Linked DNA regions of Solanum lycopersicum. The protein of the gene in region 1 interacts with the protein of each later gene in a pairwise test. Links are inferred from orthologs where the notes say so. Each region holds a gene or a part of one and is shown in the gene's direction. Other genes may lie near its edges.

Region 1 (10,707 bases):
AAGCCAAACACCTTTTCGAATTCCTTTTTATAATTTTCCAAATATTATATAAGACAAAAACAATTATCTCTCACTAATATCACTTTATAAAAATACATTCCGAATTAAACAAAACTCAATAACTATAATCCAAATTCAAATTATGAAATTTTTAAATAAGACCAATCACAATACAAAAATTTTAAATTCCAAAAATTTTAAATCTACTACTATGCAAATTATTTGATATATTTATAAATAAAATTAATTTTTGTAATATAATTCAAACTAAAAATAATAAATATGAGACGAAAGAAATAGCAGGGGACGAAGAAGTTAAAGTTTCGTAAGAGGACCACTTTGGCTTTAAAAGACAAAAATTAAAGTTAGGAATAAAAAAGTAGTGAGGTCCACGCACGTGATTTAAGCGTGGGCACATACCCACTGGGTATGATTCTTAGCTAGCTAAAATGCTAACCCAAATATAACCAAATTCATCATGTGATTTTTTTCAACAAGTATTATTTTTGTCTTTTTTTAAAAAAAAAAAATATTTGGCCCCCACTTTCATAAACCATATTATATAACCAATAAACTTTCTAATTTTTTTTATGAAATATTTTTTTTTTCATTGATCCAATTTAAATATCTATGAAAATAGCTATCAAAATATATCAATCTAAGTATTTATGAAAAGAGCTATCAGAAAATATCTATAGAAAAATAATATTTTTTTAGTGAAGAGTTGCAATTGAAGAGAGTGCAATATTTGCAGATAGTTTATTCTGGCTCAAACATTCGATTAATCTTTAGTTTATAAAAAAGTTTGATGTATAAAGCTTTTTATATTCACATAAAGTTTTAAAACAAGAGTGTGTACCTCAAGAGAGTATAACATAGACAACTTACATTAATATAAGTAATAATATTTAATTTTACAACTCGAACATATGAACTATAGGCTATAGATATCACACAGAGACATTAATGTTACTGTTTTTTTAGGGCTCTCTTTTATTAGTCTTATGTTGGCCTTTTTAATCTTTTTTTGTTTTGATTTCTTTATGTTCTTTGTTTTATAAAAATATCTCTAGTGTCCACACATTGAAAATACTTGAAGAGCTAATTTTACCAATATTTAAGATTCTTTTTTGACATGTTTTTGAAAAAATATCTTGCAAGTTCTTTTTTTTTTTTTTAAATTTGTGTGTAATAATATTGATGTTCAAGTAGCTCTATCTCACGAGAAGCTTCTTATTTAACTTTTTATCATTGACATCTTACACACTTAACATATAAGTAGCACCACAAGTTGTGACAAACTTACTCACAAGTACAATATAAATCGAGCTTCAAGTTCTACGCATTATATTTATTTGTTTATAACACGTAAAAAAGTAATTATTAAGTTATGTTGTTCATATATAAGGACCTATTGAGTCATCAAGAATCATAAATACTATAGAATCTGTCCTAACGTAATCAACCGTCCAATGTTAAGCTACTTCTCTAGTTAGAGTTACCAAATTGCTCACTCAATTGTCCTTTTTTTTGTAAAAAATCAATGGAAAATTGAGAAAATATGAAGGAAAAAAAAGATGATGGTCCCAAAAATTATAGAGAAAAAAGATTGGTGGAAGGCTTTAATATAAGGGGGGGTGGGGTAGGGGTAGGGTAGGGGGTGGGGGTGTGTTTAATTAGAATTAGTTGGAAAAAAGGACCACCTCATATGATGACAATAGGGCCATAGTTTTTGGGAATATTTTTGCACTGCCACAATGTTAATGGCATCTAATTCCAACCAGTAGTAGGCTGACTCTTCTTACTCTTTTTCTGTCTTTTACATACCCCCCTGCACCCCACCCCCCTCAAAAATCTTGTTCTGAAAAGGTCTAGTTTTGGAATTTTTGATCAGATAGTAATAGCCCCACAAAAAAATGAAGGAAACAGACTAATGAAAAAAGAAAAGAAAAAAAAACACTATCTGAAAAAGCCTGGTTACAAACTATAGCTTAGCTTCAGTTCTAGGGATTTGTAATTTTTTCTTTTGGTACTCACACAAACCCCCCACCCCCCAAACACACACACACAATTAACCAATAATGACATAATGAGTTTTTGATGTTTCAAGATTATTATTATATTATAGAAGTATAATATATATAGTATATAGTACAGTAATCAAAAAAAATTTAAAAAATGGGATTTTGGAAAGTTGTAATATTATTATATCTCAGAATAGTCCTATATTACAACCTTCCAAAATCACCTTTTTTTTTTAATATCTTTGAGAAATAAAAAAAGCTAGCTTGGAATTTTATATAGATTATTTTATGTGAAAATGTTTGACTAAATTTTGAAGTTAAAAAAAGAAAAAGAAAAATATATTTGTTATAACTGATATGATTTTAAATATGAAATGATATTTGTGTATATGAAATATTCTCTTTGATCCTATCTATCTTTTAATTTTTCGAGATTTAAACTATGTGAATTTTGATCGATAGTTTTAAATATATATATTTATATTGATACGAGATGAATTGTAATTTATAGTGTTTTTCGTACTGTGTATCTAAATGTTACTTTTATAGTATTTATCAGTTGACCGAATCCAATTTTATAAGCTATAAAATTTGTCAATTTTACTCTTGAAATGAAAAATTGACACATACTTTGAGACAGAAAATGTATTATTAGAAGTAAACTGAAAAAATAAAAGTGTCAATTAAAGAATACTAGTATAACTTACCACAACAATAGTATAGCTAAATGAGGGTACAAGTAGAAATGTTGCTTCTGATAGACACTATTAGACTCGAGAAAAAAATATTTCACCAACGGTCGGAATACTAGAATAATGACTTAGATTATATATTGAAGACGGGGTGGGAACAAATTATTTTCATTAGACTCTACTAATAGGATTATATCGAATATGTTATTGTCGTTGATTGAATTCAATTTTAATTAATTTAAGGATTAATTATTGAAGAGGGAGAGGGGTATTTTTTTTAATTTGATTTGATTTTCTTCCTAGGAAGTCTATTTTGTACGTATTGATTATCTTGTTTTGCATGAGAGAGAGAAAGTAAGAGCAAAAAAGCATATATCAATGAAAAAACATGGTTTACAAGTCATCATCACACACCCCCTTAGGCCTCTCTCTCTCTCTCTCCTTAACCTCTGGAAAATCCATAATGTTTTCTCCTTCATCTGATTTTCATCATCCTCACTAATTTCTAAGGATGTTTTTTTTCATTGTACACCATGTTTCTTGTTTTGTTTGAGAAAAAAAACAACACAGAGAAAAAAAAAGGTTCATTTCTTGATCTTCCCTTTTCTTTTCTTGTTTTGATGTTTTATGTGCAAAAACAAGTTGGTAGTGAGTAAAAATTCAATCTTTTTGTTTAATAAAGGATGGTAACTAAAAAACCCTTTTAGTTTTTAGTTCATTTGATCTTCTTCTTTTTCTTTTTTTTTTTTTTTGCCTTTTGTTCTCTTATTTTGAAGTTTTAACTAATCTACAAGCATTTGGGTGTGTAAAAATTCAATCTTTTTGTTGGAGAAAAGATAACTTCTAATTCATTTGATCATTTTTTAAAACTTTTGTTTTCTTGTTTTGAAGGTTTTACTAGTCATCTATGTTGGTATATAAGCATTTGAGTGAGTAAAAATTCAATCTTTTTGTTGAAAAAAGGTTAACTTTGATAGTAACTAAAAACCCCTTTAAGTTTTTAGTTCATTTGATCTATTCTTTACCTTTTGTTTTCTTGTTTTGATGTTTTTAACTAGTGGAAATATTCAATCTTTTGGTTAAAAAAAGGTAAGTAAAAACCCCTTTTAGTTTTTAGTTCACTTGATGTTTTATTTTTTACCTTATGTTTTCTTGCTTTGAAGTTTTTAACTAGTCATCTATGTTGGTACAAACACTTGAGTAAGTAAAAATTCAATCTTTTTTGTTCAAAAAAGGTAAAAAAATTATTTCTAGTTCACTTGATCTTTGCCTTTTGATGTTCTTCACTCTACTTATGATGTTTTTTTACCATTTTTGGGTTGTTTTAATAAAAGATATGCAGATCTTGATGGGATTTTTGTTTGTTGCAGAATCATGAAAGTACTTAAAGAGTTATAAAGCTGAGATCTTTATATGTATATATAGCTAGATGGCTAGTCATCATCAAGAAAGTATTATTCGCGAAGAGATTAAACCAAGATCATCATCAATGGTTACTAGTACTGGTTATTGGTTTTCATCAGATACAAATAATCAAAATCCAACACCACATAACAATATTGTGAATCATCAGTTGCAAAACTTTGAAACAAATCCAGATTTGTACAATTTGAGTAGTAGTACTACTTCTAGTATGGATCAAATGATGATAGGGTTTCCACCAAACAACAATAATCCTCATCATGTGTTGTGGAAAGGTAATTTTCCTAACAAGATCAATGGTGTTGTTGTTGATGATGATGATGATGATCACGGTCCTTCGTCTTCTAAGAACATTAGTGAACAATTTTATCAACATGAAACTATGTTGGCAACAACAACAACTAGTCATCAAGATTCATGGCATCATGATAATAACAGGACATTACTTGTTGATGATCCATCTATGAGATGTGTTTTCCCTTGTGAAGGAAATGAAAGGCCAAGTCAAGGACTTTCATTATCTCTTTGTTCATCAAATCCATCAAGTATTGGTTTACAATCTTTTGAGCTTAGACATCAAGATTTGCAACAAGGACTAATACATGATGGATTTTTGGGTAAATCTACAAGTATACAACAAGGGTATTTTCATCATTATCATCAAGTTAGGGACTCCAAATATCTAGGTCCAGCTCAGGAGTTGCTCAGTGAGTTCTGTAGTCTTGGAATAAAGAAGAATAATGATCATTCTTCTTCAAAACTACTTCTAAAGCAACATGACACTACTGCTACTACTTCAAAAAAGCAACTTTTACAGTCTCTTGACCTTTTGGAACTTCAAAAAAGAAAAACAAAATTGCTTCAAATGCTTGAAGAGGTATATCATATATATATATATATTCTTTCAATCCTTTTTTCTTTTTAACATGAAATTGTTGAAAAAAAGTTCTTTTTTTAATTGTTCAAAATCTTGGTGAACTAATTTTGAGGCTGAATATGCCCTTTTCCATTAATTGCCCACATGGTGACAATTTCACTATTCCATTAATTCTCTATAACCCTTTTCTCCTTTTTTCATCACACTATCGGAAACAACCTCTCTGCCTCCCGAGGTAAAGGTCTATACAGTACTCTACTCTATCCTTTCCAGACCCTACTTTTTACGTATGTTGTTGTTGTTATTCATACTTCACTAGGCAAAAAAGATTCAATTTTTTTTGGATTATGTGTAGGTGGATAGAAGGTACAAGCATTATTGTGATCAAATGAAGGGTGTTGTATCATCATTTGAAGCAGTGGCTGGAAATGGAGCAGCAACAGTTTACTCAGCCTTAGCATCAAGAGCTATGTCAAGGCATTTTAGATGTTTAAGAGATGGTATTGTGGCACAAATTAAGGCCACAAAAATGGCTATGGGAGAAAAGGACAGTACTACTACTCTTATTCCTGGCTCAACAAGAGGTGAAACACCAAGACTCAGACTTCTTGATCAAACTTTAAGGCAACAAAAGGCTTTCCAACAAATGAATATGATGGAGACTCATCCTTGGAGACCGCAACGCGGTCTCCCGGAAAGATCAGTCTCCGTCCTCCGCGCGTGGCTCTTTGAACACTTTCTCCACCCGTAAGTCCGATCTCAAAATTTAAATTTGATGAATTCAACTTACCTTTTAAAACTTATGGTATGTCACTATATTGTTTTGGTTAAATATAAATTATGTATATTTTTTTTATATTATACATTTGAACTTGTCTAGTTCTCTTGCTAAGTATTGTATTTGTTTTATTACTTGAGTCGAGAGTTTATCATAATAGTATCTTACCTGATCATAAGGTTGTGGTAAAATTGTATACATACTATCCTTCCTAGACTCTGCTTGTGTATTACACTGAATATGTTATTATAAATATTGTGTATTATGTATTTGAACGTTATTATTTTAAGTGATAGATTATTATTAAAAAAAAATTATTTTTTTATTTTAAAAAAGAAGAAAATAATATAACCCCACTTGTAGTTGTAGTACCAAGGATCTTTCTATGGGCCATCAATCATTGTTCACAAAAATAGCTAAATATTTTGGGAGTTGCTCTCAATTTGTTGTTACAGTAACTCCTTTTCCTTTTTCCTTTGTCGGTTTTAACTATACTATATATCATAACTACTCTGACTATAGAATTTTTGTTGATTTTATTTTGTTACATAACATAGAAAGTACAACATATGTTATTATAAACTATAGTATAAGTACAATTTATATTTACTTTCTTTATGGAAAATATATTCTTGCAGGTACCCAAGTGATGTTGATAAACACATTTTAGCTCGCCAAACTGGTCTTTCAAGAAGCCAGGCATGTCCTTTTCTCCACCATAACATATTAATGATATAGGTGTAACATCGAGTTTACGTTATATGCACTGACAAAGTGATAATATAAAAAAGAATTACATTATCGACCAGTTAATTATCATTTTTATCATGCTACACACTTCTAGTTATCATCATTGATATAAATGTAGAGTTTAAGTTATATGCACTAACAGTGACAGAATTATTATGAGCATTTTGACATATTATAAAAGATTGTGTTCAGTTTGTACTTATAGTCATCTTTTAAGTGATCTGGTAATGTAGATTTTTATCGCCACTCATACTCTTTACTAGTACATATAGTATAATTGTTTATATTGTCAGTATATATAACTTTGATGTGATGCACGTAAGATTGAATGTATTTTTGTTGGGCAGGTGTCTAATTGGTTCATTAATGCAAGGGTAAGGCTATGGAAGCCAATGGTGGAAGAAATGTACTTAGAAGAAACAAAAGAAGAAGAAGAAGAAAATGTTGGATCTCAAGATGGATCAAAAGCCCTAATTGATGAGATGACAATTAATAACCATCAATCATCACACATTGATCAAAAGCCAAATCTTGTAAGAATTGAGTCTGAATGCATATCTTCCATCATAAATCATCACCCTCATGATAAAAATGATCAAAACTATGGAGTTATTAGAGGTGGAGATCAATCGTTTGGCGCGATTGAGCTAGATTTTTCAACAAATATTGCTTATGCTACTAATGGTAGTGATCATCACCATCATCATCATGGTGGTGGTGGTGGAAGTGGGGGTGTTTCTTTAACATTGGGATTACAACAACATGGTGGATCATCAATGGGGTTAACTACATTTTCATCACAACCCTCTCATCATAATCATAATCATCAAAGTTCACTTTTTTATCCAAGAGATGATCATGATCAAGTTCAATATTCATCACTTTTGGATAGTGAAAATCAGAATTTGCCATATAGGAACTTGATGGGAGCACAACTTCTTCATGATTTGGCTGGTTAAAAAAAAAAGTGATCATATTCTTCATTTTGGACCTTATTATATACTCTAATTTTATTATATATTGGTGATGAATCATATCATGATAGGTGGATGGATATTATAAGTAGTAATAGCTAGTAGTTGCAACAATATATGGGGTATATATAGATAATTAAATGAAGTGATTTTGAATCATACAATTATTGAAAATTCTACATTTTGGAATTTCATTTTAGGTATTTTGGGTGATGATGACATGAATTTTGTTTCTATAGTTGGTAATTCTTGTGATAGTTTTTGGTGATTTTGTTATGCATCCAAATAATTGCCATGTGATTGAAACAAATATTAGTATATTCATATTTTGCAATTTGAAAAAAAAAATACAATTAGTATTAATCTGAGTTGATATATACTTATCTATCGAAAACAATCTTTCTGTTATGTGTATGTTTTACCTTTTTTCAAATTCGACTCGTGAAATTATTTGTTGTTGTTGTTCCCTCTCTTGTGTTTGAGATACTTAAGTGATGGAATCACGTGTGGTTGTAATAACTCAAATGAGAAAAAAACAATTTTAATTTTGTTTTCTGGGATTGGTACAAGAAGAATTAAATTAAGCTGCAAAATTAGTTAGCCTCTCAATTATCAAGATTAAGACCATCCAACAGAAACTGGAAAAAAAAGGCATTATTAATTATTTCATAATTGCACGTATAGTCCATGAATAATATCAAAAAAAAAAAAATCATTTTTCCAATTATCATGAATTCTTTTACGTAAAAGTGCTTAGAAAATTAAAAATACTTTTATTCGTGTGACGCTAATGATAGAGGATAAATCTAAAAGAAGGACATGTTAGATTTGAGATTTTTGTAAGAAGTTGTGCATGTTACCTTAGACGAATGCTATCACGATAGAAAAAAATGAAGAGTTTTATAAAGTATGTCACATGATACATGAAGACGTATGTTATCGCGGTAATATTTAAAAGACAAATCATAAGCTTTAATTTGATGGCCCAAAACGAACAATACGTAACATGAACTTTGATCAATTGAAAGAGCTTAATCAATGTCTTTTCTCTTTATTGTTAGCTTAAGATTATAGTAATTTTTAGTTAATTTTCAATAATTTATAAGTATATATTGTTTTATGTTATAATATAGCTAGAGCTTATTGCTAAATGAAATATATATATAACTTGCTTATACTATAGGACATGCATGTGAGTTTGATCAATCAAAACTATATATCAACAAAATTCTATTTATCATTTCTTTCTTTTTGTTTTTTCGATAATCATAGTGTTTGAGTTAGCTTCGTGCATACCTCGACTAATTTCTAGATATTAGATTTATAACAAATAGAAAGAAATTACTTACTGTATTTTTGTTCAGGCTAAAAAATTTCCTTTTAATTAATTAGTTACATATATTCTATGGTATCTTATTTACTTCTTTTGTGAAATATTGTGTCCATAGCTGAATTAAATAAAATAGTAAATGGCTGGTAGTTGGAGTTTAGACTGCACATGTAAATATTCTATTTTCAGAAACATTATGTTCATTGCTTTCTTTCTGTTTCTATAGTTTGTTTTAGATACTTCCATTTTTAGGTATCTTTTTCTTTAAAATAAAAAACATACGGCCAGAAATATTTATCATGTTGCGCTTATTGAAAGTTAATTTGATTAACTTTTTTAAAGATAAATTAGATCACATTAATTTGATATTAGAAACAAAAAAAATTAGATATTCTAAAACTATATGAAAAGTACTATAAATTACAATTTTTTCATATTAATATGATGAAAAAATACATCTTAAAATGTTAGTCAAAGTTTTTATAGTTTGACTCTAAAAATAAAAACCATGACAAACAATACTGAACGAATGGAGTATTTTTTTGAAATATACATTGACTTGCATGAGGTAATTGTACTATAAAAACAAGAATTAGTGACAATTTTTTGATGACACTGTAGTTTATTTGGTAGTTTCTCCTTTTATTATTGTTATCGATATTTTTTATGATAGATAAATTAAAAATTACTTTGTTAAAATATTTCATAATCGTAATTAGCATGAAACACAAGTTAATTTGGTCTATTTTCAACAAGTAAATTTTTTCCATTTTCAACAATATGACACAAGACATTTACAAATTTGATGAAACCTTTTAGTTTATTTTACACTTAAAAAAGTGAAAAGAAAAAGTATAGGACAAAAAGAGTATAAAATTATAATAAAAGATATATAAACATGCAAGTTTGAATAAGAATCCTAAAGTGAAGTTTTCAAACAAATATTTCCAGCAATGAAATAACAATAATAAAACCTATTAACTTATTCAGAAACTGAAAATATATTCTGGTAAGTTAACTTAATTTTTCTAGTTTACTCCTAATAGTAAGATTTTATAGCTACAAGCTCGTATATTTAAGACCTAAGTCCAAAATATTTTAAAAATATTTCTTCGTTAAATTTTATATTTAGTCAAACTATTTCATATATAAACTGTGTAAACACCTTTATGTTAAGGGTGTCAATTGACACTCCTCCAAAATATTACATTATTTAGCTAGCTTAAAAACTTTATTTTGTGTACTTATAAAATATGTTGACTTCTTTTTGTTCATATTTTGACAATTTTTAATTAAATTTATGTGTTGCCACTATATAGTTTATGGATTGACATGAGGATCGTGATTAACATTTGTATACACCTTCATTAAATATTTATAATAAGTGATCATGAACTCAATTATTATTATATATTAATTTAGGAGCATCATAAGAAATCAAAATTTCTAAATTCTATAAATTTTATTCATGATTAAGTTTTTCAGAAAATTATGCGGTTAAGCAAATTTATAGGACTTGGTTAGTCATCATAGCTATAGTTTGTTATAATTACCACTCACGACTAACATTATTAGTTAATCAAGTAAGTGGCCTGGGTCCTATTTTATATAATTAGCCACGTTTGTATAATTCACACATTTTTATAATTCACAACTAACAATTCTTCGTTTGATTTGTATTTGTATACGATGATTTGTATTTATATATGACGATGATTTTCTTTGGTTTTTTCAGTTTTATCACCATTACATTTAATATTTTTTTGTATAAATTTTAATATTTGTATAAACATGTAGTTTTCATATTTTGTATAATATAATTTGTATAACTGTTTAAAGTTCATATATTTATATTTGTAT
Region 2 (10,978 bases), on another chromosome or scaffold:
CCTAAATTTACCCATAAATAACTACAAACTATTATGCTTTAATACCAAGTGAATAACGCTATCGAGCTGCAAACGACCACTAACTGCACTTCAGTACTTCGGACCTTTTCTTTTTACTTTTTACTATACTTTCTAGCTTGTATACTTTGGTGATAGTACTGAATATTTTTTTGGTTTCAATTTACAAACATTAATAATATTATAGTCAAATTTTTCATTAAAAGAGTTTAAAATGTGAAAAATTAACATAAATAGAAGAAGAGGACATTCAATATATATTCTCTATAGGAAAAACTCTTTTGGACAGAGTATTTGGTAGTTTGATATTTTACCTATGTAATGTTATTTTATTTTTGAATATTTTTATAATTTTAACTTCAATATTTTTTAATTAAAAAATAAAAAAAGATCAGTTTACTTTAAGTAAAAATATTATAAAATTTCTAACCAAATTTTCTATCCATTTAACATTTCCCTTTTATATACATGCATATCTAACTTTTACCAATTATAATCAAACTTTTTTTTGCAAAATATAAACATTTCAATCGAACATATAAGTATTAATTTAAATTTATAATTTGATATCACATGTCACAACGTCTATGTTCGTACAAGGTTTGTGTATATGTATGTATATTTGGGATACAATACAGTTTTTGGTCTTTGAAGCACTTAAACCCTAACTAGCCCAAAAGCCCCAGCTACTTACTGAACCTAAGATTGACTGTGTGAGAGAAGTCATAACACGCCCTACATGTTCTTAATGTCTCAACATCTTACACTTGTGTACTTTCCCTCTTAAAACTCTAATTTATGGTACTATTTTTTAGAATTTTTCTTTAATTTCTTCTTATATTCTTTAATTTGACGTAGAGTTTGAAAAAAAATTTGCAATCCAAACTTGAAATTTTGATATTCTTAAATCTTTATCATATTTCTTTACTTCTTAAAATCATAAAAGAACTAAATAATTATAAAATACAATTGAAAATTATTGTCTCGTACATAATTATAAAATACATCCGCAGATCAGATTCCCTTTTTATCATGGTATGATATAGCATTACCACTAGAATAATGCCTATTTCGGATTTAAAATGATGCAAACCTCCTTGTAATAATATATTTGATCATAAAAAATATCAGAAAATACTCTAGTACTAATACTCATTTATTTGTTTACTAACATTGACTTATTTGTGTGTGTATATATATATATATAAAAAAAAAGGTAAAAGAAAGTAAGTATTTATTTATAGTCTTGAACAAACTCATATTATAGCTAAAGCATCTATTGGGTATTGGCATTCCATCTAAGGTTTAAGGTTGCACTATATAGTAGACTTGATAGGGGTTTCCTTTCTCTTTTCGTTTGATTTTATTCTCTGCACCTACGTATAGTTTATACTTTATTATCAACTTTTAAGAGTTTAAAATATTTAAATATTTCGTAACATATTAGAATTATTTTTTTTATCATATTAATATGAAGTCATTCTATTAACTATAATTTTGATTGTTCGTTTTTGAAACGAAACATGACAAAATAAAAGTAAACTGTAAAAATTGAAAATCCAAATAACTGTACCAACTTAATTAGAAGCTAATTAGTAATGTTGATGAGTGATTGAGTAGTAGAAAAGAAAATAATTAGAGAGAGGAATAGAAGTTAGAAGAGACATTGGTAGTGTCCCACGAAATAAACAGCTTTTTGAAGCTAGAACTGCACTTTAATTTTCTTAGAGGAAATAATTAGAGACTTTAGATGGGATAGATGAAAGACTGATGACACCTTTTCATTTACTTGTAAATTTAATTGGAGACAACTCGTGCTTTTCTATTTTATATTTCGATACAAATTATTCTTCAATTCAATAGTGTTTCGTTATTCTGTCTCACTTGATGTACTTCACTTTATTTTTTGGTCAGCAATTTACCAGAATAATATATCAATTGATTCAACACTTGGCGATGAAAATAGACGGGGGCAGATTTAGGGGTCGGGAGGAGGTTTATTTCATTTTTCACAAAAAGATTGTATAGTAAGTATAAAGTCATTTTTTCAATGAAAATTACGCGGTTAAATAAACTTATATTATTTGATTATATTATATCGTATAGGCTAAATTTGAGTTCGTATATGTATAATTTGATATTAATAATTTTTTGTTTGATTTGTATTTGTATGTTATGATTTGTATTTGTATATGACGATAATTTCATTTGATTTTTTAGTTTTGTCATCATATACATTGAATCTTTTTGTGTATAACTTTTTAAAATTTCTATAAACGTAGTTTTCAAATTTTGTATAATATGATCTACATAATGTCATTTGTATAGTATATTTTGTATAATTGTATAAAGTTCATATGTGTTTTGTTTGTATCAAATCATTATTTCAAGTTTTATTATATTTGTATAACTACAGATTTTATATTACTCAATTATACAAAAACATACAATATATCCAAACATACCTGCAAATTACAAAAACCAGATGCGAATTATACAAATTATTGTTCTCTCACGCTTGTCTTTCTCCTCCTTCTCCCAATCTCGCTTGCCTCTCTCCTTAGTCTCGCTAGCCACTCTTCTTCCTATAACATGTAACTGAAATTGTAATTAATTAATTTATAGTTGTGGAGCATAATTAAACTATTTTTCAGTAGCTATATGCGAAAGTTTCCATTTTTAAAAATTATATATATATATATATATATATATATATAGTTATATTCAACTCATATTTTAATTAAAATTTAGGTGTCTTTATAAACGCGCATTAATCAAAGTATAAGCATGAGATTTTACAGATTAGTAAGCTAGCGTTTGACCATAATATCTGGGAAATATATTTCACATTTTTAGAAAAATATGTTTTATACCCATAAGTTTTAAAAATTATCAAAACTAACTATAAGTTTGTATTACAAGTCAATTGGATATTCGTTGCAACAATAACAAATAATGCCCATGACACTAGAGCAATGTGATAGTTTGGAGGGAATGCAACAAACATCATTCCATAAGTCATGAAACAATTTTTCATCAACAACCATATAATCATTTAATGTTCACTGAATATTGCATCACTACTTTGGTGTTTACGTAAAAAATTATTTAATACAACACAAACAACTACTATAAAAGGGTGTTTTTGTTAAAGATAAAAGTTTGGAGTAAAATTTTAATTTTAAGAAGATCCCAAAATAATGAGATTTGGTCCAAATACTAGAAAAAAATAGTATTTAAGAATTTGAAATATTTGTTAAATAATGACAAATTGTAAATAAAATTATTTATCAAATTTTTCCCAAAATATTATTTGAGAAATCTATAGCCAAATGAGTCCTAAATGAGAAGACATACTTAAAATGATTAATTTGTATATGTAATGAACACTTAAAAATTCGTTGAAAATTAAATATATTTAGTATAAAGAGTTTATCAAGTATTTAAATACTCCTTGAATAAATTGTAATTTGAATATCTCAATAAAATTTATTATTTACTACCAATAATTTTGAATGTACAGAATAGGGTATTAAATTAAAGGAAAAATTCTCTTCCCTAGAAAATTTGTCCCGAATAATATCTTAAGTATGTTATTTATCTTCTTAAATATTTTCGTTCATTGACTTTAATAATTTTTAATAAAAAATAGAAAAAAGTTAGTTAATTTTAAAATAAAAAATATTTATAACTTTTTAAATTTCTAAATCAGATTCTGACAAAAAGTTCTAGCTATTTAGTGTGGATAAAACTTATCCGCATAAGATGTTTATACATCAATTCAATATATGCATGTCATGTCATGTGTTAAAATTTATTTTTCATTTTACTTCATGAAGTTACAAATGAAAATTGTGATAATTAGACGAAAATATTCGATACAAATAATTATTTTTCTATTTAACCTCAATTAAAGACCTCAAAAACTAAATACTAGTTATGTAGATTGGGTTGAAGATTCTTTTGGGGTGGGGTACGTAGCATTTTCCATTAAAGTGAGTAAAAACAATGCGAGGCAAAGTGTCCAAGTTACATTTTTTTCATTGAAATGGAAATAGGTGGGGGTTATAGTAATCTACACAAACCAAGAAAATGCCATAAGATAATAATGGCACTGAAGGCACCAAAAATATATATAAATAAAATGAACAGAATATCTGTGAATGAAGTGTGTTGTTTGTCAATAATAGGAAACTAAATTATATATTTGTCTATCGGAGTATGAAATACATCAAATATCATTTCTTATTTCATTTTTCATGTATAACTAGAACAAGAAAAAGACAATAAAGTTATAAATAGTTCCCTATCCCAATAGGGTAAATCTTTCTTCAAATATTTTTATTCTAAACAACTCGTTAGATTTTTTTTTCCTTTTCATTTATTCAAGAATTTTAACCTGAACTTTTTTTTTAAAAAAAAGAAAACTATTAAATTTTCCCTTAAAATAATTAAAATATCCTTAAAATTATTACTTAAAAAATTATAAATACTAAAAAACATATACACAAAAGATTACGACAGAAGATATATGGAATGGAAGAGATTTAGCATCACAATTTGGAAAGAGTATTTTGAAAATTAGAAAAAAAAAATTGGGATAAAAGTTTCTCGAAGATGCAAATAAAAAGTCAAGAAATTAATCTATTCCAAATTGATTAAAATATATTTTATCAAATTTAAAATATTTATAAATGAAAATTTATACATTAAACATGACCAACTTATGATTTTGTCTGATTTTAATGTTTTTTAGGTGATTAGCAATCTAAGTAATTTATTTTGAAAGTGCTTATAAAATTAAGATGGAAATTTGAAAATATCAGTTTTTGAAGTTTGAATGGTGTGTGAAATATTTTTGTAGGATTTAAAACAATACATAGGATAAGTGAAATGAAATTTCATCCAAATTTATGTAAATTGTCAAAAATTGATTAAAGTTTATGAACAAAAAACAATTTGTAATTTCTTTAAAAATTCTTCCTCCAAAATCTAGAGAAAATGTCATTGACGGTTTCTTAACTATTCGAGTAGGGTTTAAATAGTTTCTTAACTATTCATTTATAGGATTTAATCTTTCTAATTGCTCAAAATATTAATATATTTGATCTTTTAACTATTTACTTACCGATCGATTTTGGTCAGACCTACCATAGAGCTTAGTCTCTTAAAGATGTGAATCTCAAGATTTTCTACTGCTATATCCACTCACATCACAATTCACACCTTTGTTGTGCGTCTATTTTTTTCCCCTCTCCCTCTAAAAAAGATAAGTTTTCTTCACGTTTTATTCTTGAAAAGTAGTATTTTTGTTAATTTACTACTAGTATAATATAATGTGTACGCTAATCTAATTTTTAATATAAAATAATGATATAAAGTTTAATTTAGTGGTTGAAAGAAGAAGCAAAGCAAAAAGAATCATATTCAATTAAGGGACAAATAGGTCTCAAGTTATAATATTGGTAAGGAACTCTCACTCTTGTCTGTTTTCCAATAACCCAAAAACCAAGAAACACATAAAAACACAGAAGAAATTACACTGCACCTCGATTTGATCATTCTAATCTAAAAATAAAAATTAAACTGTATATCTCTCTCTCACTAGGAGAGGAGGGATATTGGCAGATAATGACAGTGTTTCAGTGGCAGTGAAGAAAAAAGGGGTATGAGTTTTCATTGGGAAGGTAAAAATTTTGCACCCAAATACAAGCTAACCCTTTAACATGTTCATGTTTTTCATAGTCTTTGCTTCTTGCTACAACACTATAGAGAGAAAAAAAAAAGAAAAGAAAAGTGAACAATACACTGTTTTTTACTAATTATTTTTTAGAAAAAGAAAAAAGGAATATTGTGTGTTTGCTTTTTTTTCTGACTAGTAGTATTGCTAACTATGTATTCCATTAAGGATTTGCTGTGAAAAAGCCTGATATCAGTAAGCATAAAACTCGGGAGATCACTTACACACACACACCCTCGTAAAAAAGAGAAGAGAGATTTACTGTTAAACAGAGGTTTTTTTCCATTTCTTTTTTTTTTCTCAGTGTGTGTGAGAGAGAGAGATGGTTTTCATAGGCAAAAACAAATAGAAAGGAACAAAATTTAGAGTGAAGAAGAAAGTGTGTGAGAGAATAATGGAGGGTGGTTCTAGTGGAAATACTAGTACATCTTGTTTAATGATGATGGGATATGGAGATCATGAGAACAACAACAACAACAATGGAAATGGTAATGGAAATGGAAATGGAAATGTAACAATTTGTGCTCCTCCAATGATGATGATGATGCCTCCTCCTCCTCCTTCTTTAACTAACAATAACAATGCAGAAACAAGCAGCAACAACATCCTTTTTCTTCCTTTCATGGACAACAACAACAATAATCCTCAAGAAGACAACAACTCTTCTTCTTCTTCCATCAAGTCAAAGATTATGGCTCATCCTCACTACCATCGTCTCTTGACTGCTTATCTCAATTGTCAAAAGGTGAAATTCACCCCCCCCCCAATTAACACCAACAAAAAAAAATTCATTTTTTTTTCAACAATTCAAAGATTATATTTTTTAACATGGGTTTTAGTATTTCTTGAAATTTTGATGATTTTTTCTACCTTGAAAGTGACTCTCTGCAACAATTCAATAAAAAACCCTGAAAACAAAATCATGTGTGTGAAAGGGACAGTAGCTGAAAAAACCTAGTTTTTTTTTCTTCTTTTTAACAACTGCAGATAGGAGCTCCGCCAGAAGTGGTGGCAAGGCTAGAGGAAATATGTGCCACGTCAGCAACAATGGGCCGTAGCAGTAGTAGTAGTGGTGGTGGAATCATTGGAGAAGATCCTGCACTAGATCAGTTCATGGAGGCTTATTGTGAGATGCTGACAAAATATGAACAAGAACTCTCAAAACCCTTCAAGGAAGCCATGGTTTTTCTTTCAAGAATTGAGTGTCAGTTCAAAGCTTTAACTCTTGCACCTAATTCTTCTCATGAATCTGGTGAGATATATATATATCAAATTTTTTTTCTTCATTTCTTAAAATGGTGACATTTATTCTTTTCAGATCCTAACTGTTTACTTGAGTTTATTCTTTTATAAATTAATGTCCTCTGCATGTGCATGTTTCCAATGATATCAGTCATTAATTAATTATTATGTACTAATAAAATAAGCTCAATTCCATATGCAGACCATTTATTTTCAATTTTTTATCAATTTACTCTACCTTCTTGTATTTCACAATGATTTTTTAAAATAGTTTTGTTTCTGTCTCAATATTCAATGAAATACATCTGCCAGGGATACTACCTGGAATTTATATTAAAGAAAAAGAATAATTATCTTATTTTGGTTCTTGTTCTACATGTTCATAATATTTGTGTGGTGCTAGTTGTAAGTGTAAACAGCAAGATATATTTGTCCCTTGTTAATCATTTCAAACTGGATGCTTGTGTATGCTGAATAAACTCAACTTGTCTTGTTCTTTATTTGGAATGACCCTGGGAAATATGTCTTTCTTGTTCCAGCTTTTTTCCCCTACTATTCATGTGCAGGTTTTGTTTGTTCTATCATGTGCCAATCACAGATTAATTGATGACTAGCTCAAGATATAATAATGTATTAACCCTAGTTTTCTGTATTGAAGCTGCATATATTATGATGGTGAATATGAATTTCAAAATTATATTACTTTGGTTTTACTTCTGACACTCTATGAAGTAAATTTTTTGATTCTCTTGTGTTGAGGGTCTTTTGTAAGTATACTGAGGTAGAAAGGGAGGGGGTGGCGGAGATAGCTATATACCAACCAGTCTTAGGTGATTTTGCACGTTGGATACACCAGTTTGTTGTTGTAAGGAGCAGATTATTACATTATCTTTCTTTTGATCAAGTCTTTTTCAACATAAGCTTTCATTTGAATTCAATTTATGTGTGGGTGTTATGTTTCTCAAAGTTAGTTGAGTTTATGTTTCATGCTTTGATTGTTTAAAATATAAGACTTTTGAGTTTTGGAAAAGGTTATTCATTCCATGTTTCTCTCGTTAATTGTGTTGATTGGTAACCCCACAAATTAACGTCAAGTAATCTTTATATTACTGGAATCACTCTCTATAACTATTATTGTTGCTAAGTAGTAGTGTTTTTGATGATTTTAAATCTATTAGGTATTTGGAAAGATGTGCTGAATTAGTTGGTTGTCTTGGAAATGGTTCATAACTACGAATGCTTAAATGTTACACCGTATAAGCTAAATAAACACTGAAAAAGGAACTTCCATCTAATGGCAATAGTTTGTATGTATTTGGATTTCAATCTGTATTTGTTTAACTTGGAAAGCTCCAATCCATCTTAGCAAGCACTTAAGTTTCATATATGGTCTGTGAAGAAGTCCTTGATCGGCTGAACGATTAGCTGTATCGCACAAATAGTTACAATCTTTCGACATAATTCCATGAGGTCCCTCTTTTAGACACTTTAAAAGAATAGAAAGATACAAGACAAAATTGAGAAATGCACCTTCCTTTTAGTGAGACCCATAAAATACTCTTGATTAGATTTGGAGCTTTTATTGGATTGTATCATATAACCTACTTGATGTGTTATACTTTTGTTTAAGTCATTGGATTATGTAGTTGGTGTTTTTTCATCAATACATCTTTTTTTTTTAATTACTCTTTTGAGTTTATTTCCTTTTTTTAGGGTGCAAATATCTAGTCGAATGTATTTCGGAATTCAAAGGATTCATCTTGGTGAATACGGCTTGCTTAGTTTGATCTAATTGTATATTTGTTCATATGCTTATTGACAAGTGTTTCCTTAATCAGCTAAATTTCTTTGGAAGTTTCTTTGCTTGGACTTTTTTATTCACATAATAGACAAAACATAGCAAACTTGTGAAGTTAATAATCTATAGGTACTCAATGGAGTCTTTAATGGGATAAAGAAGACGAAATTTGTTGAGTAGCTGTTGGGTTTCTGAAGGACCCACTGATTTAAAAAACTGAATCTTGAGGAGTCTAAAAGAAGCGAGGGCTTAACTGCTTGCAATTACGAGACAACTGAAGAAATTGGCTTTTTTTGGACTTAATTGCAACATGGATAGTTACTCTCATGTGTATTTTTTGATAAGTAGTAAATAGTAACGGGTCGTTTGGTGAGAAGGATACAAATAATTAGCGTGGGATAATAAAATAGTGATGGTATTAGAATTTTGTTTTTTGGTTGTCATGCTTGGGATAACTTATCTCACTATATTCACCATAGTGATTAGACCCATGGTGGGATAAATTATCCCAGAATACTAATTTGTTCCCAACCAAACGACTCTTGATAGTTCTCAAGTATATAGGGGTAGTTAAGTTTCTCATAAAATTTATAAGCTTCTTATTCTCTGCCTAGATTTAGTGTGAGTTATGAATCGCTTTGTTGTTTTTGATTGTATTAACTCTAGCATATTTTTGTTACTCTTCTTGTGTAAGAAACTACTGAGAAGTTTCCAAATGCCTAAGAGCAAAATGATTTATGTTAGCCTGTAGTGTTGGCTAATCTAACGTGCCAAACTTTTGATCACGTCCCAAGAGAACCAGCTGAGTACTCATACTCAAAGCTTATCTCGTATCCTAGTAGCTAGTGATTTTTACTATAATGTTATTATAAGCCAAGTTATATTCTCAACTATAGTTGTTCCTTTTTTTCTTGGAGAATGGTTATGCTAATTTAAGTCTTAAAGGTGTAGCTTTGGGCGAGGCAATGGATAGAAATGGATCATCTGATGAAGAGGTTGACGTGAATAACAGTTTCATCGACCCCCAGGCTGAGGATAGAGAGCTCAAAGGTCAATTGTTGCGTAAGTACAGCGGTTACTTGGGAAGCCTTAAGCAGGAGTTCATGAAGAAGAGGAAGAAAGGCAAGCTGCCTAAGGAAGCAAGGCAACAATTGGTGGATTGGTGGCTTAGACATATTAAATGGCCATATCCATCGGTATGATCCTCCTTCATTCCTATTAATAACTTCACTTCTTGACTCTATACACTCTGTTAATTTCACCTTATGTCCCTTAGTAATCCATACAAAAAGAATGACACTCTTAAATTTTAAAACATAATGTTACGGGTGCACGAAGTTTTCGCTTGGTCTTCATTCTGAATTAAAGCTAATATCACTTAAATTAGAAAAGTAAAAGTATTGCTTTTCTAAATTGTTAAATAAATCAGTCCTTAGCTCAATATCTACATATTAATTCTACTCTACTAGGATGATCACTTCATTGTAAGACCATATATTGTTTTTCGCTTGCCTTATCAGACAAGGTTGTGATGTGTGTCCATCTTATATACAATAATGACAATGCATAGTTATTTTACGCGGTCAAGTTACATTGCGCGATTCTTGGTTTACAGGAATCTCAGAAGCTTGCACTAGCTGAATCAACGGGATTGGACCAGAAGCAAATAAACAACTGGTTTATCAATCAAAGAAAGAGGCATTGGAAACCATCAGAAGATATGCAGTTTGTTGTGATGGATGCTGCTCATCCACATTACTATATGGATAATGTTCTTGCTAACCATTTCCCAATGGATATGACACCCTCTCTCCTCTGAATTAAGATTTGTCATTATTAGTATCAAGGATGTTTAATTAATTTGCATATTACTTGTGTGCATGTAGTAGTACAAGGTATTGTGACACAATCAACTTTTTATTAGACCAAATATATAAAGTGCTTGTAATAGATCTTTCTATTATCATCTTTAATTATAGAATTAAATAGTTTGTACTTGCTAGTTTTATCTTTTCGAGAATACTGCCTGCGAGCCAGCGTCCAAAAGCCATAATTCACTTGTTGTATTGTACTTTGCGCGGCATTTACTGATTTCTTCATTGGATATTTCTGACTAAAATTGTAGACTTTACAAAGCTAAATAAATTGGGGATATATTCAGTACTTTTTTTTCTTGAAGT
Region 3 (9,342 bases), on another chromosome or scaffold:
TACATCTCACCTGTTACTAGATGCTAATAATAATAATAATAATATTATCGGTCAAAAAGAGTCACCGGCCTTGCGTGAGTGGTGCTGTGGGGGATAAATGGTAATTGTAGGTAAGGGATGGTAATGGGGCCCTTTATGGGGTTGAGTATAATTCGTTAAATTTTAAAATTTAGTTTTCTTCGTATAATAATTCTTTTTATTTTCATTCTACCCTCCTGGTATGGATCTGCTCCATATAATTTATTAATATTTTTTAAAATTATATTTGATATTATAAATAAAATTCATGAAAATAAATTTATTTTTTATTAAATTGTATTAATTTAATAAAATATTGACTTATAATTTCAGTTTTTAGAGGTACAATTTTCATTTATTATGTTGAATACTTTAGTAGCTTTAATAAAATTATTTTAATAAATAATGCTCTATCATTTTGATAAAATATAAAAAGTTTTAAACCACCTAAAATAACATATATTCATAATTTATTCCACTCCACATTAATTTTAGAAAAACGGCTTTATATTCGATCCGCCCACACAACCTTAAATACGCTCCATTAACCTTAAACCCACCTTGCAGTCCACTTCGGTCCATTATCATCTCGTAATTGTAGTGAGGCAGGAAAACCAAAGCAACACTCAAATGAAGAGTTATATACAGTGAGGTCAGCATTCAGAAAATCATAATCTCTGTGCGGTGTATTGTGAGTTGTTATGTCTGTCTGAGTTCTGAGTGCTGACCCAAAAATCGAGTCAATATATTGACAAAGAGAAACCCACATTTGGCCCATAAAATCCAGCATCTACTCTTCTGTCTCCCCAATTCAGACACCACCTACTCTTTTATTTCACTCATTTAACCAAACGCCTTCTTTTATTCTTTATCCATCCACTCTTTTCTTGACACCACAAATATATTATTCCTCTACTTCCTCATATTAATTTCATATACATTTAACAAAATAATTTTAGATATCCTATATGAAAAAAGAAAAAAATTAAAAATTATTAATGACAAAAAGATATTTTAAAAAATAAAAAATCAATTAAATCGGAAAGAATGTGTTGTTGTGAGCAGTGACCGGAACAAAACATATTTTAGGAAATGCTCAAACGACTACACTTTGAAATGTTGCCATCAATGACCCCTTTTTAGTACTTGCTTCATTTTTTACTTACTATTTTGATTTGACCAACCATTAAAAATATGTATTTTTATATAATATTGTTTTATTAACTAATGCTAAGGATAGAATATAGAAAAACTTTAATTATTTTTTTAATTTTTCAAAAATTACAAGTAAAAATAAAAATATATTTTAAAAATAAATTATAGATAAAATGAAACAAGGGAGTATTTTTTTAAGACGGAATTCAGTTTTAATAAGTACTCCCTAGTTCCTTTTATTTCGTCAATAATAAAAAAACTAGTTAATTAGTAGTCTTAATTATAAAATTCTCATTAATATTATTTAAAGTCGTATAAATATATATTACTTATTTTTAAAAAATTCTTTTTTCTATTAACTCATATAATTAGGACAGAGGGAACAGTATAGTTAATTATTTGTGTTAATGCCGTGTCATGGGAGGTGAGTCTGTGAACCATTAATAGCCTTTTCAGATAACAATACAATATGCAGTATAGTTTTTATTTTTTCAACAGAACATATCAGTAGCTTTATACGCACAAATAATATAATAATAATAATAATTCTGGAACCCTCGAAAAATCGCAATTGTAATCTTTTCGGCGATGCACCAAATATAAAATCTGATCTCCCTACCATAGCTAGCGAATAATACAAGTATCTTACTAGACAAGTTTTACGCAACAATAAATTTATTATCACATTAAATTAAATTTCATTTTATTTTTAGTTCGCACTTGCTAATTAGCATATGTAAGAAAAATTTATCTATTTAAATTCGTATCAGATAAAGCTTTAAAAAAATATTTCTAACACACAATTTTTTAACTAAAAGAAAAATAATCACATCTACTTCGATGGCTGATTTGTACTAAATTGTTAGTAGAGGGGTGGGTAGGGTAGGGGGGCCTTCATTATTATACACATATAACGACAAGGGATATTCCAGTGTATAAAAATATATATATGTGTGTCAGCCTATTGAAAATGATGCAATAAATAAACAATTGAAAATATTAAATCTAAAGAAAGAAAAAATATAAAAAAAAAAGATGGAGGCGCCGCTGAACAGGCGCCGTACAGTGAAGGGTTAAATAGGGTGTAGGGACTCTATAGGGCTGATGTAAGACTCCACCATAGAGAGACAGAGAATAGGACCCTAAATGGGAAAAAGGATAAGTAAGAATATCCACGTGTTACAATATTATTATTACTTCAAATTAATAAAGTTCCCAAATCATTCAAAGATAATCACATTATTTTAATAGTAACAAAAAATGATATTAAATTTTGTTATTATTATCAAAAGATACAATTGTAATATCATCGATGATGAAATTGTTTCTCGCTTAATTGTAATCGAAAAATAAAAATCTGCATTTAGCACATAAGTCGAGAGTAGAATAACACGCCCTACTCATGTGATTGACACGTCCCATCAGCCGGCGCCTCTCTTCCTCTCTATTTTTTAATCTTATTTTATATATGCACTCCACCTACTTATACGACAAATAACATAAAACTCATGTATTCTGGGTTTTTTTATTATATAATTATAATATAATAATATATATTATTGTACTACTATAAGCTATTTCGATATATCAGCATAATATATATATATATATATAAAAAAAAAAAGGTATCTCCACAATTTGACAAATTGGTGGATTTAATTGTCCCACTTTCAGCTTCACATACTTTGGATATATCCACTAACTATACCGTGTGAATAAATAAGTTTCGAGGTATCTAAGTACAGGTATACGATCTATGTGTACTTTAAATTCACTCAATATATTGTTATGTTTTTTTAAAACAATATTGGTTAAAAATATATTGTTATTTTTAAATTTATTTGGATTTTTTTCTCATGTATTTTAATTACGCTATTTTTAAATTAAATTATTGAAACACTAATAATTTGTTTTCTTAAAACAATATTGATTAATTTTGATCAGTTTTTCTATTGTAAATGTCTTTAATTGTGTTTGAATTGTAATAATTTTGATTGAAGGAATGAAGACAAATCATGCTAGTCTCATCTGTTTTCTAATGTGTTCAAATAACTTTTAAGTAAAACACAATTATTCTCAAATATTTTCACCATCAATTAGACTAATGATTCGTGGAACAACATATGTACCCTCTATCAATATCCTTCAAAAATCTGGTTCCACATCAGACAACGGTGTTTGTTTAAACGGAACAAATTATGGGTTCAATGATTCAATAAGAAAATGACGTGATTGAGGTATTTGAGGGGGGAAAACCCAACAATTTGGCCTATTATTATTATTATTATTAATAATAATGATAAAATTATTAATATAAAAAAATGAAAAGATTTAAAATACGCAATTTAATTAGTAAAATGTAACAAATAATATACCTAGTCAAACACTATAATAAGTATCAATTAATATGTTTTAATTTTTTAAAAATAAAGTGCAGCTGCTCCGCTAAAATAGTTTCTGTCTTCAAAATATGTTAGTTTCAATAGTAACTTCAATTGTAGACATAATTTTTTCTAGAATCGAATCAACCCACGTGATTTTGATGCAAGTAAATTATACGTTCGTCAATTTATCATCAGTGGAATTAAACTATAGGCTAAAAGTTGGATTTTAAAAAATATTATCCCCTGTTGTATTTTGACTTTAGGCTATTTCTTAATCTTTATCAATACTAAGAAAGAGATTTTTTAGAAACGTGGGTGGAAATGAAAGATTAATTGAATCCACCATAATTAGAACAAACTTGCAAATTCTTCAAACGACTTCACTAGTGACTTAAAAACCAAAAATAAAATTAAAAAATATTTATTAATTTAAATTATCATATTTTTAATTAAAAGATTTATTTTGTAAATAAGAAAAGTTATATTTTATATAGACATAATACATAAACATGAATCTTAACTTGACTCGGTTGAAAACTATGACATTTAATTTTGGGTGTGCACAAGTAAACACTTAAATTTATATAAAATTAAGCAAATGAACACATTTGTTCTACATAATACTTTACATGGCAATTTATTGTCCTACATGACGTTCTAGATGTATTGTGCCATGTAAACATTTGTATCTACTTATTTTATTTTATACAAATTTAAATATCTATTTGTGCATATTCAACGTTGAAGGACATAAGTATTTACTAAAATCAAATTAAATAATTATGTTTATGTAATATGATTTTATATTATAAATCATAGTCTTAAATACAATATCTTTGTAAATTTTCCTTAAAAGTTGTCACCTGCCTTTGTGAAAAATCAGGAGTGTATATCTTATCAAAGAAATACTACTACTTCATCGAAGTTTGTAGCTTCTCATGGAAGCAATTTAGAAACAAGAGAGAAAGAAAATTTTCTCTTTTTAGGACCGACTTACCATTACCAAAAGTCTATATTTATCATTCCATCTATAGCATGACTATAGAATTTGTAAAATATAAGATATATAATTGTTTATTTGCAAAATAATTTATTGAAATCGCATATGTTTAACTATTACTTCACCTATTTTTAGTTTGATATGTCAAAACAATGGCGTATACCATGCTACCTAGTTTTTTTCTCTTTCGAAATAATACCCCTACTATATATGATTTTTCTTATTTATTTAAGTTTTGCTAAGTAAAATTAATTTTTATTCGCCCCTAAATTTGTAACTTACTACAACAATTAATGCTAATGATTTAACATATGTATTAGTATGAGTAAAGACCCTACTATCCTTCAAAATTCTTTTTATAGCTTTTTAGTATAATAGTGCAGAATATTTTTATAAATAAATATTTTTTGTATTATACATGTTATTTTTAATAGATCAAATCAAACGCATAAGAAAAAAATCTCTCTTTATATATAATTAATATAGACATTATTACTATATTTTATTTAACATTATTTTTATGTAACTTACTAACCGATTCTCCAAAAATAAGTATTAAAATACAGTACCATGAAATGATAAAAGTATTCGTTCATTTTTTAAGAGCCTGTTTATAATTTCGGAACATTTTCCTTCCGACCAAACACATGTTCACCTAAATATTTTGCCTATTTTAGGAGAGAGGTCGTGCCGTCCAACCGACGATTACGGGTGTCTGCGTGGGTCCCTTTTTTATTTTTACTACTGCTGCCCAAATATACTCTTTTTTAGCTCCCAAAACCCCACACAAACACAACACTCATACACTTTCTCTCTCTAAATCCCCCCCTCTCTCTCTCCTCCCCCATTTCCATGGCTTCCACTCGTGAGGGTCACTACAGAGGAGTGAGAAAGCGTCCCTGGGGCCGTTACGCCGCAGAGATTCGCGACCCGTGGAAGAAAACACGTGTCTGGTTAGGCACTTTCGACACTCCAGAAGAAGCGGCACTCGCTTACGACGGCGCCGCCCGTTCACTCCGCGGCGCTAAAGCAAAAACAAACTTCCCCCCTCCTCCGCCGCCGCCGCCGCAGCCTTCTTCCGCTCCTCTTACACTCGATCTCAACCTTCCATCTGATCACCGGTGGACTTCCCCCTCCGGACGTAGGCTCATGATTGGAGAGTTTCTACAAGTAGGTCCGCCGCCGGAACTTAACTTGCCGGTCACCGTCGCTGCGCCGGCGAAGGAAAACGATGTTGGAGCTGCAGCTATGTATTTTGGGATTGTGAGACGTGGGTTGCCTATTGACTTGAACGAACCGCCGCCGTTGTGGATGTGAGGAGGCGGCGGCGGATAATTAATGACTTAGTAAAATTACGTTTTTTGTTTTTTTTTTTTCATTTTTGTCATTCTCTCTATTTTCAAGCTTTTGGGAGAAAGGTAATTTCTATGAAGAAAAGTAGAAAAAAAAGAAGAAAATATATTAATGTTATTATTAGGAGGAAGCACATCATTATGTAAATACCCTTTTTATTTAAATATTAATCCAAATTCTCCATATTTTTGTACCACGCTCATCATAAAACTGAAGTACTTTGTCTGTACTTTTTAGTCTAATTTTTTTTTAAAAAAAACATTTTATACAGTAAATTAATGTATACGTCCAAAACGTACATTTGCGCAACAATTGTGTTCCTATATATATATTATTCAAATTTTTTTTGTGTGAATATAAATCGAGATGAATTTTCATAAATTATTAAATTTTGTAAATTATTTACTAACATTCACGATCCATTCTAGATTCGCACCTGTGCGATATGATTGCACGTGTGAAAATATACGTACATGTTTGACATATTAAATTAACTTTATTTGTTTGTTGTTCAATTGAGATGTGGTAGATTTTTGAGACATGATATTTAATTTCACCTTTTCAGGTGGCGCATGAAAGAGCATTACAATTAATTAGGCCAGTTATGTATAGAAAAAGGGTAAACGCAGAAAGTGACTTATTATTATTATTATTATAATAATAACTAACTTAGGTTGAAAAATCTTACATAGTATCAAAGGATTGTCCCTAAATAGTACAAATTTACTCAGCAAAAATAATTATTTTTGACCTAAATCTACTTTCAATATTAACTATAGCAGGCTGATAAGCATACATGCTTAGATTTTTTCTCTACTTCCCATTAATGTATAAGTTATAATTTTATTCATCTAATTACATTTACTTTCGAATGGGATCCATTTTGATTGTGATGAGTACGTTTTGGTAAGAGATTAACTTAATTAGTTTATTAATTATCCAAGACATGAAGTGCTAAATAGATTTTAATATGGTGGATGATTGACAGAAATTGGTTTTAATGGATAAAAAGTGGATGGGGTACAAAATCCAATCAACAAAAGGCAAACTTTTAAGTATATTTTGGTGAAAATCAGTGTAACTACTATTAGAGCTCGAACTTTATTTTTGGCCCAAAAAAAAAAAAAACTTTCGGTGCCACTTTTGAATTTTTTAAGAAATAAACTAAATTTATGAATTTATTTGATAATAAGTTCAATTCAATGGACACCAGCAACTAATTCTTCGATACCACTTTACATTTTTGTAAAAATTCAACGCTTTAGTCTTAGAAGATTGATGAATTCTTTTATTCGCAGAGCCATATGAAAGTAAGGGGATCCATTCAAACTTTTTAAAGTGTTTAATTTTTTAATATTTTAACCTTCTTAATATAAATTTCGGCTTTGCCATTATTTCTTAACATATTAGAACTAAGAAGTTGAAACTCAAAACTTCGTTTTGTATCCAACGTCCATGTTGATTTTGTAATGGAAAAATTAAAACTTACAATTATTCTAATCGACTTCAATTAATAATAAATTTCACTGTACGACAGAATGAAACTGCGAAGAAAGAATACTAACTTATTTATAACAAAATATAACTAAATAGTATGTACACCATTTAATATATATTTGTCTCGTATTTCTTGCTAAGGGGTCCATTATATTGAGAGAACGTACCAGGAAAAAATAGTAAGGTTATAAAATAAGTCATAAAATAGATTATAGTATAGAGGAATCTGATTTTTTGTTTTCGAGGGGAGGGGGGACCAACAAATTAATCCCCAGAAATTGGGGTTATTAATGGATGAGGTCTTTTTTTTGGCTTTATGAAATGGGGTGTACGTGGGGCTATTATATAATATGAAAATAAAGAAAAGCTTAAGACAGACATATAAAAATAGTGTAGTGAATTGTCTTATTAAAGCTTGATTTATTTTAACAATATTTAATTTTTTTTAAAGTATCTGTTGGTATTGGTGGGTCCAGTCTTTTGAAGTTCACTTCGACAAATTATCCATGTATAAAAATAAAATTTATACTAATTTACCTAAAAGGATGGATAAGTTCTTTAACCAAATGGAGTAATGAATAAGCACAAACATTATAATATAAAAAAAACCTGTAATGTTTGTCAATAAAATATCCAAAAAAAAGCAGAAATCTTTTAATACCAAGAAAATATTGCCGGTAGCATGCATGCAGCTGATAAATGGCAATAATTAAATGATTATACTAACTGTTTTAGTGTGATAATTAAAGTTAATGACAATGACAGTTTAGGTGTATAATATTATAAGGTATAATTAATGGGGCGGCTTGTCATCATAGTTTAGTCAAACATTTTACTGTTCCATATTTAAAATTATTTAACTTTTCTAAATTAATGCTACAAAATTGTGACAATCATTGTATGTTGAATTGGTCAAAAATAATAAAAAAATCTCCATTTCAAGTAAAAATTAAAGCTCGCAGCAATACTAGACCAAGTCATAGATTATATAGAAAATTAGGAAACTTTACAAAAATGAAATAATTTTCGTGTTATCACCAAAAGCTTACATTTTTTTTAAACAACCAACGTGGTGGGCTCTACATAAATAAATAAGAAACAGGAATAGAAAGAACATTACGTAATATTTCATGCAGAGAACCAATTGAAAGTAGGGTGGACATATAAATAAATTTTCAAGTTATATTTGAAACTTCTTTTGACTGAATGAAGTAAATAAAAAAATAAAATAGAATTATGACCGAAATTTGATTGTTTGGTATGTTTTGAAAATTTAAATTTATATATTCGAATATATGTATTTTGGCAGTTACACAATAAAACTGAGAAAATAACACGTATGGGAAGTGAGAAAAAGCAAAACCAGATGACGCATTGAACAGTGAATTTCCAGCAGTAGTACTGCAGACAGACTAAACAAAATTTCAGAAAACAAAAAGTACAACACGCAAGTTTCTACTTTTTTTTTAATAATTTAAGAAATATTATAGGAAAAATGGATATAGGTACCTAATAAAGCGTCTGGAGCAGTATAGCAGGCAGATTTGTTGTCAATCTATTTACTATTTTAATTGTAATTTGATAAGTTTAAATTTATATTATAATTACTTTTTTTATAAAAATAAAAAATTTTATATTCATAAAATTCAAAAGAATATTTACGACTCTATCGAGTTATATTTTCCGCTCGTTAATTAGGTGCATGAGCAAAATGAATATAAACGTTACTGTGAAGGCGTCTGGTGGGACCCACGCGCCTCTTTAATCATTATTTCCGTCTTCACGGCGCCGTTTACTTCTTTTTAACCCTATTTTTTTTTCTTTTCTTGTTGTCCGGTGTGATTTTCGGTTCTTTTTTATTTTCGATAATACTAAATTATAAATTTAGACTCAGTCGTGTGGCCACCAAATTCAAAAGGCACTATTGTGATTTAT

Evidence for each region.
Region 2: the proteins of BL3 (region 1) and T6 interact in binary tests that used the Arabidopsis thaliana proteins (3 or more experiments, as listed by UniProt). The link is inferred for Solanum lycopersicum from reciprocal best matches to the Arabidopsis thaliana genes BEL1 and STM.
Region 3: the proteins of BL3 (region 1) and ethylene-responsive transcription factor 12 interact in binary tests that used the Arabidopsis thaliana proteins (3 or more experiments, as listed by UniProt). The link is inferred for Solanum lycopersicum from reciprocal best matches to the Arabidopsis thaliana genes BEL1 and ERF12.

The regions. Positions count from the first base shown.
Region 1 is NC_090807.1:66,654,531-66,665,237, forward strand, and holds BL3 (bell-like homeodomain protein 3), read left to right. Parts: upstream 1-4,205; coding exon 4,206-5,015; intron 5,016-5,370; coding exon 5,371-5,762; intron 5,763-6,431; coding exon 6,432-6,492; intron 6,493-6,890; coding exon 6,891-7,502; downstream 7,503-10,707. UniProt on the Arabidopsis thaliana protein: Plays a major role in ovule patterning and in determination of integument identity via its interaction with MADS-box factors. Formation of complex with AG-SEP dimers negatively regulates the carpel identity process and favors the maintenance of ovule identity.
Region 2 is NC_090801.1:61,366,333-61,377,310, forward strand, and holds T6 (homeobox protein knotted-1-like LET6), read left to right. Parts: upstream 1-5,853; 5' UTR 5,854-6,152; coding exon 6,153-6,503; intron 6,504-6,745; coding exon 6,746-7,010; intron 7,011-9,743; coding exon of another isoform or gene 9,744-9,749; coding exon 9,750-9,994; intron 9,995-10,413; coding exon 10,414-10,617; 3' UTR 10,618-10,800; downstream 10,801-10,978. UniProt on the Arabidopsis thaliana protein: Required for shoot apical meristem (SAM) formation during embryogenesis. Negatively regulates ASYMMETRIC LEAVES1 (AS1) and ASYMMETRIC LEAVES2 (AS2 or LBD6). Probably binds to the DNA sequence 5'-TGAC-3'. Binds to RNA.
Region 3 is NC_090801.1:58,881,001-58,890,342, reverse strand, and holds ethylene-responsive transcription factor 12, read left to right. Parts: upstream 1-5,159; 5' UTR 5,160-5,409; coding exon 5,410-5,874; 3' UTR 5,875-6,103; downstream 6,104-9,342.